2 linked regions of the Cricetulus griseus genome follow. The protein of the gene in region 1 interacts with the protein of each later gene in a biochemical or structural test. Links are inferred from orthologs where the notes say so. Each region holds a gene or a part of one and is shown on either strand. Other genes may lie near its edges.

What was found.
Region 2: the proteins of Loxl1 (region 1) and Fbln5 form a complex in vitro, tested with the Homo sapiens proteins (2 studies listed by BioGRID and IntAct). The link is inferred for Cricetulus griseus from reciprocal best matches to the Homo sapiens genes LOXL1 and FBLN5.

What each region holds. Positions count from the first base shown.
Region 1 is NC_048597.1:169,910,037-169,913,783, forward strand, and holds the start of Loxl1 (lysyl oxidase homolog 1), read right to left. Parts: upstream 2,303-3,747; 5' UTR 1,920-2,302; coding exon 722-1,919; intron 1-721. UniProt on the Homo sapiens protein: Catalyzes the oxidative deamination of lysine and hydroxylysine residues in collagen and elastin, resulting in the formation of covalent cross-linkages, and the stabilization of collagen and elastin fibers.
Region 2 is NC_048598.1:104,252,548-104,256,194, reverse strand, and holds part of Fbln5 (fibulin-5), read right to left. Parts: intron 3,268-3,647; coding exon 3,148-3,267; intron 1-3,147. UniProt on the Homo sapiens protein: Essential for elastic fiber formation, is involved in the assembly of continuous elastin (ELN) polymer and promotes the interaction of microfibrils and ELN. Stabilizes and organizes elastic fibers in the skin, lung and vasculature.

The sequences.
Region 1 (3,747 bases):
TTCAAATAAAGACAGGACCCATATTGATATTTCAGTTACTGAGTCTATTTAAAATGTGGACATATTTGTTCATAATGGATTTTTAATGCACCAAAATGTTACTTTATCTTCATTACCCAGATTTTTAGTGCTCAGTTGAATTGTATGCCCTGGCCAGTGGGCTCTGGCATCCCAGCCTTATTGGACACCCCTTGGGGTCTGCAAGTTATGTCTGTTCAAGTGCTGCTCTTTGCCCTCCTACATAACTCACCAATGACCAGCCAGCCCACAGAGGTCCAGGCATGGGGACACTGCTGTACCTCCAGAAGCATCCTTAAGGCCTCTTGACCTTGAAGGTCCATAGCTCCCAAGATCTTTGCCTCAATCTTTGCATCTGACATAAAGTAATTTCTAAGAGTCTTAGGAGATTCCCTGACTGGAAGAGGGAGAGGCAGGGAGACGGGCTTTCCTTACTTGTCCCTAGATGACCCCAGCCAGATCTGTAAAGTACTTCTTAAAGCTTAGCTAGTCCTTCCTCAATTACCCCAAAGCCAGAGTCAGAATGCAGTGACCCTGATGGATAATGGATGGATTCAGGGCATGGGAGGAGAGGCTCACTGCTGTTGGCCACACGGTTCTCGCTCAACCACTACCGGGAGACCTTTGGTAAGAGACAGAGTATCTGAATCCCTGAGGCAGCATTCACCTGTGACCAGAATGTGGAACCAAGGACAGTACTCACCGCGACCATTCTGGTTGGGTCGGTACACACTACCCACGCTGAGACGGCCCTGCTGGGCGCCGTTCCTCTCCCCACCCGGCGAGGGCGCATCAGAACTGCGCACAGGCAGGTAAGGCGGCTCCAGCACACGGAACGGGGGTTGTGGCTCCACCGCTCGTGGAGGGACATAGGCCTCGGGCTGCACATTGGCTGCATAGGGAGGGTACCAGCCGAGGCGGGGATCACCAGCATAGGTGCCACCTGCCCCGGTGGAGCCCTGTGCTCCGTCGGTGCTGGGATCAGGGTAGGCCTGCTCGAAGCCCTGGGTGCCTTCATTGTACAGGCTGTGCGAGTAGCGACGGTCAAGGCCGTCAGAGGGTTGAGGCTGAGGCTGAGGCTGGGGCTGGGGCTGGGGCTGGGGCTGGGGCTGCGGTGCATAGGGCCTCTCCGGGGCTGGGTAGAAGCCCTGGGCCGGATACTCGGGCTGCTCCTCGCCGCCACCTCCATACTCCTCGTAGCGTGCCCGGGGTTGGAAAGGATAGATGACCCCAGCCGAGGCTACAGCCGCCGCCCCCGCACCCATGCCTCCGCCTGCTCCGCGATAGTACACGTAGCCCTGGTCGTAGGTCCGCGATGCGGGGTCGTAGTTCTCATATTGGCTCACGAAAGGCGCCTGAGGGTAGGGGAACTGCTGCTGGTACGAGGATGGCTGGCGGTAGGTGGTGGCGAAGGCCGAGGCCGAGACGGAGGTGGAGGTGGAGCCCCCGTGCCGTTGCTGGGAGACAGAGGTGCGGGCCCGAGCCATGCCTGTGCTGTCCCCGACGGCCACCTCTCGCCAGTTGTCGGGCACCTGGCCGAAGCCGAATGGGTGCCGCGTTTGACCACGCACAGTGTCCGAACCCACGCGCCCAGGCAGGGGCAGGGATGGCGCCTGCCGACGCCGGGGTCCCCCCTGGCTGCGCCGCTGAGACGTTTGGGGCGCGCCTGCCAGCAGCACTCTGGAGCTACTCTCGCCTCTTTGGGGCCCCGCGGGCACGTACTCAGAGCCCGAGTTGAGCAGGCTGTACACCTGCCCGTTGTTCTCCCACTGGATCAGTTGTCGCCAGCGTCCCGGGTCTGAGCCCTGTTCTGGCTGCGCCTGCTGCCCGTGCACCAGGACGCACAGGCAGGCACCCCACACCAGGGTCCCCAGCTGGCTACCGGCTCCGGCCAGAGCCATAGTGGCCCTTCTGCAGAGGCCGGGTGGGCAGAGAGGCTCTCAGGAGTGGGCCCGGGTTCGTGCTTCTTTCTCTTCCCACGGCCTCGAGGACAGGACGGCTCCTTGCCTGCCCAAGCTCTAGCTTTGTCCATCCTGGCCTTGTCCCGAGCGGGACGGCTCCTCCGATGACAGCATTTCGAGGCCAAGGGGTCAGGGCAGGGCAGGGGCGGTGCCCAGGGCTGCACGAGGCTTCTGCAGGGCACGACGGGCAGGACCTCCTGGGGCCCTTACATGGCCAGCCCCACACTGGCTGGCCGCTCGCTAGGCTGGCGCTTTCCTACTCTGAATGAATAAGCAACAGGCTGGAAGTGTCTGGAGGTTTCAGGAACCTGGTCCGCCTGCTGGGGCCTCCTCCGCGGGGCCCTATGGCCCGCCGGGTTTTAGCTATGTGGCCTGTCCCACAGCCGTGCTCCCTCAGTCCTTGCTGCTTCCAGCCAAGCCACAGACCTGCCTCTGAGGAAGGGAATGAGGCAGGGAGTAGGAGGGGGCCCCCGGGGACGCAGCCCTGTTAAGTGGGGTTTCTGGCAAGCACAGCAGGGTTAGGATGTCGGCACTACCCTGCTGGTTCCACTCTGCTCTGAACAGTTTTTCTGAACTCCACTTTCCTCATTGACTTTATCTCTTCCCAAGCCTCTTGGGATGCCTTCTGTCCTCTCCAAACCTATTGCTAAGAGACATCTTTGTTGGTGAGCCTCCCTGGGGAGATGCCTACCTCTAGCTGGGGTTAACCTGTAATTCCCAGGACACTTGGCACTTGGTCCTAAGTACAAAGACACTGGACCTTCAGCTCTTCCACCAGGTCTCAGTTTATAGGCATGGAGACCACGGTGTGTGTGTGTGTGTGTGTGTGTGTGTGTGTGTGTCGGTGGGCTGAACAGGACTTGGAAGCTCATGGGAGACTGACTTCATGCACCCCGTGGTTTATGTCCTGTGCTTCTTGAGTCTATCGTAGCCAGAAATAATCTGAATATACACATGGATAAGGTGAGTCCAGCAGCTGGCAGCCTTGGCATGGAATAAGGTCGCTGCAAGGCAGAGAAACCTTTAGCATAAACCAGCAGAGAGGGAGGACTTAGGAGAGCCATGGCTTTCAAATCTTAAGTAAGTTCCTTTCCAACTTTGATCTAGTGGCCGCATTTGATGACTGGAAGATTATTCCACATAACTCCATTTGTTTTGGCAGATTCTCTGCTCCCTCTGCGAAGGGCAGAGATAGTAAGATAGATCTCAGACAGTTCAACTTCCTTACTTGGTACCCAAGAAGTTACACTCAAAAAGCTGCTCTACAGGCCTCCCCTAGGCTATGTTAGGCAGGTATGGCCTTGGGAGCTGGAGGGCAAAAATTACCCCCCCCCCCAGACTTATAAACAAAGGAGGAAGAATCTGTCTCCCAAGCCTGAAGACTCTGTTTTGGAAGCTCCTGGAACCCATCTAAGGAGGAAAACAGCCAGAATGGCACTCTTTGGGAACGAGGACCCCTCTGCCCTCCATCCTTACCATGACACATTTATTGACCCACTAGACTGTTTTTCAGGACTGAGGCTCCATTTCTGAGTTTGGGACATTAGATATCTATAATCTAGCCAGAGGAATGGGGCTTGCAGCACCACTTCTCCCAGTGTCACTCTAGCTCTCAGCATAACGTCTGGATTCCCACAACACTGACTGATTAGACTGATGACAAGCATGGCTTGGCTCAAGTGAAGCCTGGGACCTGCAGGGTTAAGCCTTCCCTCCCTCCTGCTTGCCCCCTGCAGTGTTGGCCTCAGCTGCTTAAAATCCCTGGGGT
Region 2 (3,647 bases), on another chromosome or scaffold:
TCTCTGGTGGCCTGACTGGCTCAGGCGTTCTCTGCAACAAGCAATACAGCCGTCTCCAGCCAACCTGGAACCATCCTTCAGAGGATGGCTGGGGATGGCATTGTCCCAGGGATGCTACCATTAGTCTTCATAGACCTTGGCAGCTGACACTGGAGCAGGCATTCCAGAAAGGCCGACTCTTCATCGCACACAGAATTTGGCAATGTAGGCCCTATTTGCGCCTCATTCAACAGGCATGCCAAAGAAAACATGTTTTTCTTACATTTGTTGTTTCCCGAAAATCATTTCCACTGGTTTCCCCATGTGACATGTCCTTGGATTACTCTGTAACTCACAGACCACTGGTGGCTCAGATCACCCAGAGAGAGTGTTGGCATGAAAGAGGCTGCTGCTTTGTCTTTGGAGAATCCACGTGTCACATAGCCACTGCTTTCTCTGTCCAAGAAGGGAAACTCTCCCTATCTTTCTGAGGTGTCTCCCAGCCATGGGCAAAGGGTCAGTGGACTTAGGATGTCATCCCCTAACTGGAGTTAGCATAGTCCAGTGTTATTCAATCCTCCACCAGCTTTTCAGAAAAACCTGGGGACTCTGGCCCCAGCCTATCATAATACAATGCCATCATTTGTTTCTGTGTAGTTTGCAATTCCATTAGTTCCTTTACTTGATCTTAGTAATGATGTCTATCGATTCCTGAGGACTCCTGTGTGTCAACCCCCATGTTAAATGTTCAACATATCTCATTGTATTTAATCCCCGCCTCAACCCTGAGAAGGTGCTGTGACTATCTGTCTTTAAATAAATAAATAAATAAATAAATAAATAAATAAATAAATAGGCTCACAGGGCTTTGGCAACTAGACCAAGTTCATAGATCAAATGATTAGATAGGAAATCACAGATCTGAATGTGGTACCTCAATACGACTCTGGTGAACATGATGAGGTAACATTCTGTTTAGGACCTAGAAATCATCAAATCTGGGAGTGCCAATATGGGAGAAATACCTCAGCATAGTTTCATTGTAGAATGGGAGGAAAAACCCACCCTACCTTCTACTGGGTGAAGGAGGGTCACCAACCCACTACACTATAGTTTGTCTTAACATCTGCAATTCCAAAATTCTAGAAAGATTTTGCATGTGTGTGTGTGGTTCTCCACCCCACAGCCCCCACAAAGGGCTGTGGCTTTGCCCTCCACTGAAACAGAAGCCAGGTGTTAGGCAGAGAGCAGGCCTTAGGCCATTTTCATTCCTCCTTGTTAAAACCCCATCTCACTTCTAGAATCAGCATGACTCAGTAAATCCCAGGAGGACAAGGAGTGTCCAGTGTTGCAAAGAGGGGCTACCCCAACTTTGAGAACCCAGTGAAGATAATAGCAACCCAGCATCTAGAGAAAGTGCAAATTCCTAAGGTCACTGCTAGCTGTCTAAAAGGCCTGCTGGAGCCAGGGCTCCCCTTAAAGTTAGTAGAAGGTCGTATCCAGTGACCATGTAGGAAAAGTGAGAAAATCCTGCCCAACAAGAAAGGATTTGAGTTCCTCGTGAAGCCCAAAGTTCCTAATATTCAGAGAAGATTCATTATGTGATCATGCCATTGGGGAACATGAATTTGCCCATTCCTTATGACCAGTCCATGAAGACAGTTATCCATCCAAGAGGAAACTGAAGCTTGGACAGCACCCTGACCATGAAAAGCAGGGATAACCAAGGCTTTGAACCCAGCCACATCTGGCTCCAGAGTCCTTAGCTGACAGCGGTCAATAAATGTCTATGGGATTGCAGGTAACTCTGGGGAAGGTACTAATCCATTACATCCCATAATGCAAAGCTTTCCACACCTCTCAGTTCTTTTGCTCAGATTCCCTAAGGAATGTCATGAGGGGAATTGAAATCTAGGAAGAAAGGGGCCTTTGATGCCTCTGGGTAGGGCTGGTATTTAATCAGGCTGAGGCTCTGTAACTGCTTGCCATGGCTCTGAGGGTCCTGGCCCTGGAGAGAGGTGACCGTTTGTTTCTGAGAACTCTGTCCCTAGAACATCCCAGTCCTAGGGGAGGCTGGCACACAAGCTCATTCACAGCCTTGGTAGGCTCCTGTGACAGTGAAACCCAAGACTGGGAATCTTTCCATTCTGCCAGGTAGTTTTCACACCTAAAACACTGCCTACTTTTATTTTGAAAGTCATTGTTAATGCAGACAGAGCTAATTCACAGCTGCAGGGGAGGTTAAAACTGGTGGGTTGATTTTGTGTTAGCAAAACATTTACAAAGAACAGAGACAGACAGGCAGACAGGCAGGCAGACAGACAGAGACATACAAGTAAGCCCATAGCTCTGTATTGTATGATATGCAACAGATTAAATATAAATAAAATGTGTTTCTTAGTCTCAAAAAGTTCTTACTTTCGTAATAGTTTTTTTTTTTTTAACTTTCTAGGAATCTAACTTTCTGGGTGGGGAGAGGAGTTTAATAAGATAATTACAACAGACTCAAGAAACTAGACTGAGTAGAGAATGAGAGCAACTGGAATTTGTAAAAAATAAATAAATAAATAAATAAGTCAACTAAACCACATTTATGTTCTCGAGACAAATGGCTAAGATTTCACTCACTCAACAGTCACACTTCTACTTACTGACTCCAGACTTGTTTGCTGCATGCTTACTGTGTGCCAGGTCTAGAGCTGGACTATGGTTGTTTGATGGAATTCCCAAAGCACTTACATGTACGACTTACTTAGTCGAAGTCCTCCTAAACTAGTGGCAAAAGCAATTATCCCTAGATCACTGTCCTCTATAAATATTATCTATGCCATCTTCAGGTCTTGAGTCACTGCTGGGAAAGGACAGATAACTCTCAGACCAACAGGCAATATTTGGTGAGCCCTCCCTCTCACCAACTCCCTCTGGGATCCAGACAGAAGCTTGGCTGATGTCGCGTTGAAGGTCACATGATCAGGAAGGTAAACCTGAACTCCACATCTCAGGAAGTGACTCATCTTTGTTCTGTGTGGTTATGCTCCCATGACACTGGGAAATGTCTCCAACTAGACACGCAACCAGGAAATGACAGGAAACACCTGGGATGAATCCCTCCTTGCCCCAGCCCCAGATCTCTGAACAGGTGGACAGCTCCAGTGCCAAGCACATTACCACTGCAATGAATGCCATCTTCCTCAAGTTCATATCCAGGGTCACAGCGGCAGATGAAAGAGCCATAGGTGTTGACACAGGTTTGAACGCAGGGATTCTCAGTTTCACACTCATTCACATCTGTATGAAACCAAAGCACATCACTATCAGTGTGACAGAAAAAAATGAACAAACAAACCCCAGAAACAAGAAAACATGATTTGGCAGCCAAATCTGTTATTACCAAGAGCTCAGATTCCCGGATACCTGTCAGATCACGATCTCACTCTCTGTGAGACCATATTAACTGTCAATTTACAGGCTCCAGATGAGCCTTCAGGCACACCTATGAGGGATTACTTAGCCTCTGGTCATGCCTATGGGAGATTATGTTGAGTAAATTAACTGAAGCAGGCAGCACCATTCCCTGGTTTGGATCCCGAGCTGAGTAAATGGAAAGATTGAGTTCGAGCTAGTTTTCATCACTCTCTGCTCCTTGACTGTGGATATCACGTGACCAG